Linked DNA regions of Drosophila melanogaster. The protein of the gene in region 1 interacts with the protein of each later gene in a pairwise test. Each region holds a gene or a part of one and is shown on either strand. Other genes may lie near its edges.

Region 1 (3,273 bases):
AAAAAATAAATAAATAAATAACAAAATACGAGTCCAGGAAACAACAACAAATCGTGCGGCTAACCATTCTGGATTGCACAATTAAAGGCTTAATTTATTTGGCCGGCAATTGATAGGCCGCAAACATTTAGATATCTCATATTCCTTTGCATTTCTGACAGCACATAAAGCAAAAATGCAAACCTACAAAACTGCCAACTGCCGACTGCTGACTCACTCGAATCCGAATCGATATTCTGGTGGTGTTTTGCATGAACCAACCTCAGTTCGTTTTTTACATCACTCTTTTCATGCTCGGCTGGGATTTGAAGGGCCTCGTCAAAGTTGTTGTTACTTGGGCTGTTTTAGTCGCTTTTGTTGTTGCTGGTGTAGCGTGTCAACTTTAATTGCAGTGGAAAACGGAGACGAAGTCGTTTATGGGGCACTTTTTTATGCCAGCACTTTGGCAAGGCTAGGGGGTCGATGTCTCCGCCAACACGAACTTGCTCCAAAATCGGAACCCAAAATATCATGGTCTATATTTAAGTGTTTCCAAAAAAAAAAAGTCAAGGGAACGTGAAAATAAAATGTGGGTTCTCGTGCTAAATTTGAATATTTCATTGTAATAGGTTACGAAAACGGAAAGTTACTACTATTATTATTAATATTTTTTATTCTTTGAATTTCAGCAGTTTTGAATACAGCCAAGAGACAATTTTAGCCCAAACGTTCCTTTTACAAATCACCCTATTCCTTTTGAATTTGCTCAATGAAATGATCCTGGAATCTTGGGATCTTCTCCACGTAACCGCTGAACTGCGTCTCCGGCTCTCGGCTGCTGAGGAAGACGAGTTTCTGGGCACAGAGCTTGTAGAGCCAAGGGATGTCCAAGTAGTTGCAGCCCTCCATGATTTTGCAAATGCTATCGATTTCCACGCGCAGGAACTCCTTGTCCCAATCGGAGATCTGCAGCTCAATCTCCTCGGCCGGAAGAGGATCTTTGCTGTCCACCCAGGCGGGCTCTTCGTGTTTCTCATGGTACTCAGCCCACAGCAAGATCTTCAGCAGGACATTGCTGTGTATACCGTGCAGCGGCAGGACGAAGTCCTCATCCTCTGGGACCTGGCCAACGCGGCACATCTCCCGGATCACCAAGGATTTCTCGAGCAGAGCCAGATTTACGCTTATCGTACGGCCATCCCTTGTCTCGAATCGCACCATTCTTGAACCGAATTTCGAATAACAAATTAAGAGCTTCGGATCAGAAAGTCAGGGCCTACTGCTTGCAATCAATACGAACTAAACCACAAACTTGTGCCTACTCTACCTCTGGAAATTGTTCAAATTGGAGTTCAATATCGAAATAAACCACCATCTGCTGTAATCACAAAGTTTCCAAGCGACCAACCAAAGCCATAACCTCCGCAACAAAGGCAGTGACAATGAAAGAGAAAAGTGTAAAGAAGGCGGCTAGCAAATGGCCAACGACAGCAGAATAATAAAATAAAAGTTAGTAAACAAACGGAGGGAGGGACAGTCTGAAATTCACTTGAAATAATTACAAGAACTTTTTACGTCCGACCTTGGCCATAATTTTGCTGGCCAAGCTTTTTCTCGAAAACGAAAAGCAAAAAAAAAACTCGAGACAAAAGCTGTGCTGTGTGTCAATGAGATACGTACCCATACAGGCGCACTCAGAAACCTGGCCCACAATGCAAACACACAATGCCAATGTTTTATTTCTAACGACGACTCTCTTCGGCACTGCGCTCTGCTCTGTTTTGTAATTTAATTAATATACAAAAAATGTTTTGTATTTCTCGAAATGCTAATTACGCACAATGCGAATGACAATGAAACCGCCGACTGGCGGCCATTTGTTGTTCGTTTTTTTTTTTTTTTGCCCCTTTTTATCCGTTAACAGCTGGCTTTATGGCATTATAAGAGCCCAAAGGTTATTTATATCGCACCGATTGATTGATGAGTTCTTGCACTTGGCATTGATCATATCTGCGGGTACTTACATCTGGCAGGCCCTGGCATATTGTGCTGCTGACCAGGAGGAGCGCTGTGAAAAGGACCAGTGGTGAGGACATCTTACTGCTTCGGCCGCCTAGGGTGCTAATATAATCCTTAAAAATGCTTAAACTGCAAAGAGACGAAGGGGAAACGAAAATTAAATAAATTAAATATTAATTATTATTAGCCACATCCCATTTGCCAATATATTCACGCAATGGGCCAGCATGCAAAGTATTTATTTCCCAAATAATGGTCTTACCACCTCACATGACCATTAGTTCCCTGCCCACAAACCCGTCCTGGTCATGCTCGAATGGACAGCACTGTGTTTGCAACGCGAGTACAGTTAGCATCTGTTGTTGCAACTCAAACGCCGCTTGCTGCTTCAATTAATATTTACTTTTAGTTTTGTAGAAAGAAACCTAGTTTTCTGGCCCGCTGGCCGAGTAATTAATTATTGCATAAGGCCAAGAAGCAGCCTCGAGGCATAAAACAATCTTGTGCTGCCCTGTTGATTGCTGTTTGTGCTGCCGTTGCAGTTGCAGTTGCACATCCGCCCGCCATCGAATGCGGCTAATTGTCAATAATGATGCAGCGATGCGTGGCGAGGGGGTAACAGCATCCATCCAACCTTTTGACAAACCAACCAAGAAAACAAACAGAACTGACCAGCGGCAACAAAGGCAGCAACAGCAGCAGCAGCAGCAACAGCCGCTTCACGTTGCCGTGTCGCAACTTCTCAGCGACATTTACGACAAATTGCATGACATTTTATATCCCAAAGGTTTTGCACAATTTGCATGCAACGTGCTGCAAGATCCGAACTGCCGTGGCCCACTTCGAGTGAAAGAAAGTCTCGCCGGCGAATCGATCATCATCAATCGTAATGAAATGTTCGGCTGAGCAATTGCCAAATGTGGGTGGTACCCAGCCCAAGGCCAATGCCCCAAGACACTTGCTCATGGATTGGCGAAAATTGTAGGTAAGCGCAAGGAAAGTTCACTTTTTCCTATTTCAGCCGGCGGGCAGGCAAAAATGAGAAAATGGAATCGATATTTTGAGTAAACATGGAAAGCGCTTCAAAACAAAAGACTTAGAACACGAACTTGAGCTTAGAAGCATGACAAGGAAGCTTGCAAGCCACGTTCAAAGATGTGTAGCTACAAATAAGTGTAAAATCTTCCAAATAATATGAAAACCATTTTGGCCAAAGGTCAACCGACTTTTGCCACCATGTAATGGCCGTCAGAAGTCCATAAGAAAAGCATCAAT
Region 2 (3,759 bases), on another chromosome or scaffold:
CACACTTGCAAATTTGCCATTCGGTTTTACAAACAAACAAACATACAGTTCGCTATCGATAAGAACAACCGTCACCTGTGGCTGCCGCACAAAAAAACATTGAAACACACAAAAACACACACAGTTGTCAGTTGGGTGTATATACAGTATATATATATATATACGCCTATATATATATTTATATATATATATATATATTAGTACGTTTAAAGTAAGTTTTCCATTTCTAAGTTATACAGTTTATCGTTCTCTTTGTGTTCCTTTTCCTTTTTTGCATTGCGTTATGTTGCAAAAAAAAGTTGCTGTCATTTGGCGATCTAGTCGGTAGCAGCAAGTCTCCAATGGAATCGATGCCCCACCACTCCATCATCATCTTCTTCTTCTTCCTCATCTTGTTGGTGTTATTGGTGTTATGGTGTTGTGGCCGTTGCGGATGCTGTTCCAAGCGCTGTTGCATGTATCCTCGTATTGTTGTTGTTGTTGTAGTTGCTATTGCACGCATTGTTGCATACATCAACGTGTTGTTGTCGTTAGTGTTGCACGCATTGATGCATGCATCATCGTGTTATTTGGTTTTATATGTATGTATCTTGTCGCATCGCCGTCCCTTTAGGTATTGGAACTAAATGCCGCCTGACGGAGCAGCACATAGATCTTCTCCTTGATCCAATCCTTATTGTAGGGCGCATAGGTATTGGTGCTCTTCTGGTAAACCATGCAGCTAATGTCCACCATTGTGTCGATGAAATCGAATAGCTGGCTAATGTCATACGTAATGGTCGGAGTGTTTGGATTGCGGCGCTTCAGGTGCTCCTCGTAGATCTTGCACACGCCCTCCATGCACTCGTTGACGCTCTCGTAGTCACAGTAAGTGCGGGTCTCCGGACGAGCACCCGGCTGTACCAATAGGATGGTGTGCGACATGGTGATCTGCAAGGCAAAAATGGAACATTAATGTTATTGGCGGTGATCTATGTACTCAAGCGATATGTATGTATGTATGTTACTAGTGTGCGTTTCATTACATTACGTTTCATCTTCATCACTTACATCCTTTTTTTTAACAAGCGTTTTTTCTATAGCAAAGTCCGAAAGATTCCGAGACTCTCGAAGTTGAAGTTTACTTCGCCAGCTCTGCAAAAATTGTGCATAAATATTTATTAGAAGCATAGAGAGCTGTCAGCAAAAAAAAAAAAGACAAAAAAAAAAGGAAAAGAACAAAAACGAAAGAGATGGAAGAGATATGCTGTTGCCGCATGCAACGCATCGCCCCATCTCGCTCGCGCTCTCGCCGCAACACCAATACACGCGCACCACACATGCTGGCCAGCAGAACGCTCTTTGATTTTCCAATTTGCAACTGGGAAATAGACTAAGATGGCACTTCCAGCATGGAAAACGAGTAATTTGTGTGTGAAGCGAATGTTGGCAATGGAGAAATGCGTACATTTGTACAAGATAATGCACGCTTATGCCGCTTCACTAAAACACAAACATTCGGAAGCGCGAACAGACACGCACACACATGTACAAGGAGTAACGGCCGCCGCGTGTGTGTAACTAACTGTATGCAATCACTTGTTTTTCTTCCTTTTCACCGATTTTTCTCGAATTTTAAATAATTCCCATGTCTCCCGTTTAGTGTTCAACTTACCCGTTCGAACGCCGGACTATATGGACTATGATAATATGCTGATTCAGTAAAGAGATTCGGTAAAATCAGCGCTTGATTCGTTTTTTTTTATTTTGCCAGTTCTATGGGTTTTGAAGAGGAGGCTGAAGCTAGAGATGAGCGCTTCGCTGCGTGCCTCGCCGTGACAAAATAATCGAAAGATATCGATTAATACTAACATCTTTTATTTGATATACATTGTTTAATAATATTTACCAAATTAAATGACAATTGTGATTTTTTATACTTAATTGTATCAATGTATACTTGCATTTCAATTTGTATATGTATTTGATTCCATATTATGTTCATTCACTTTTTTATTGAAAAGCACACTTTATGTATATTACGCCTTTAGGTATAAAGCATGTTTTTCAATGCATATTTTCATTTCATTTGGCGTAATTCATTCCATATTTAGTCTTCAGATTTTTTAAATAAAATTAACTAAAGCTTTTAACATATACTCATCATAGTAATACATTACAATAACTACGGAAATTATTTATTTATTATTTTTATTTTATATATTTATAAAAAAATTATAATTATAATGTCAAATTAAAGTGGATTGCATTATTTATTTAGGTTCATTTTATTTTGTTATTACATATAAATATTAGGTATTACGTTTATTTAAGTTAGAATAAAATTAACGCCCATCAACAAATTATGGTCATTAAAGTCTTTATGAAGTAAACTTAATGTACAATCATTTTCACTTAAAGTGCATATTAAAAAGCATATTTTTACATTTTTTAGTATTGTATTTAATATAAAGTCAAAAGTTACTTTTAATGAAACAAAACTATCGCCCATCGCCAGCTCCGCAGTCTGGCCACTGTTCTCACTGTTCCCAGTGCTGCCAGACAGCGGCAATCGAAGATCCGAGTGCCCACCAGCTGTTTGATCTCAATTGGACCAATTGGAAGAGCGCGGTGTCGCGGGCAGCGCAGTCGAGCGGCGGCAGAGCGATCGGCAAAGAAATCAACAACAAAAAGCAAAATCTCGTCTCAACATTATTTACGTGCTTTTTGTTTTAGTGAAAAGTGAAGGCGCAGCCGCAGCAGCCCGTGTTTCGCGCGTTCCCATTAATTTGTTGTTATTTTCAATTGTGCAAGTGGCGTTCGTGTCTCTCTTTTTTTTTTTTTGTTTTTTCCTGTGTGTTTGTGTGCGTCCTAATTGAAAGAAAATGAAGTGAAAAGAAGCAAACAAATTGGGAAATAGCAACGTAAACAAATCAAATAATGAATGAAGTAGAAGAGCAGCGAAGTTAAATGAAACCCAGGCAGTAAATTGAAAAGCAAAAAAGCCCTGCGAAAATAAGATGATAAAGGCTGTGAAACGGGGAAACCCGTTAAAGTAGCACCGAAAAGGCAATAGTCAAATAAGAAAACACAAAATCCAACCAACGCGACGCACGCGTGTCCAATTTGTCGCCTCTGCTTCGTCTCTCTGCTTCCTCTTCACTGTTCTGCGCACACCGTTGCACGATCATTCATGTGTGGGTGTTGTATCTGTGTTTCTTGTGCATTCTATTTGATTTGTGTTGTTGCTCATCTCTTATCGCTGAAATCTCGAAATCTCAATGTTCTCGGCGACCAATGGCAAAATCAAGGTAAAAAAAAAAACGTCCACTTAATAGTTTTCTTAACTTACCAAATGGTGTCTTGGCTACAGAGAAACTTATGCTTTGAGTTGAAACTGAAATATGTACAATATTACTGTTTCCGTTAGTTTTATTTTAAAATTGATAAGCCATTCTATATTTCTCCTGACTGCGCATTGTTTAAATATTATACTAATTATCGTATCGTATCAATATCTTATCTGATGTTTGCACGAGATTTGTTGCGGTGTATTTGATTTAATATAAAACTATATCAGTAAATGTTTGATATACGTTAAAATACAACAAATATTGTACATTTTTTACAGTTACCTCCGGAAGATGCTGTGCTGGTGACGTCACCGTTGCGCTGCCTCTTCAACGGCCCCTTTCGCGATCTCCACTTCAACGTCACCGATCACCGCATTATTCCCGTCCACGATGTCGTTTTCCTCGACGATTTCGAACGCAACGTGAA

What was found.
Region 2: the proteins of CG15800 (region 1) and e(r) interact in a two-hybrid assay, tested with the Drosophila melanogaster proteins (one large-scale study listed by BioGRID).

Annotation. Positions count from the first base shown.
Region 1 is NT_033778.4:23,789,993-23,793,265, forward strand, and holds CG15800 (uncharacterized protein), read right to left. Parts: upstream 1,236-3,273; 5' UTR 1,201-1,235; coding exon 727-1,200; 3' UTR 622-726; downstream 1-621. Other genes in the region: sona (sol narae), read right to left, coding at 2,004-2,075.
Region 2 is NC_004354.4:8,904,455-8,908,213, forward strand, and holds the start of e(r) (enhancer of rudimentary), read right to left. Parts: upstream 1,795-3,759; 5' UTR 1,655-1,794; intron 1,537-1,654; exon of another isoform or gene 1,315-1,536; intron 1,135-1,314; exon of another isoform or gene 1,051-1,134; intron 931-1,050; 5' UTR 925-930; coding exon 610-924; 3' UTR 1-609.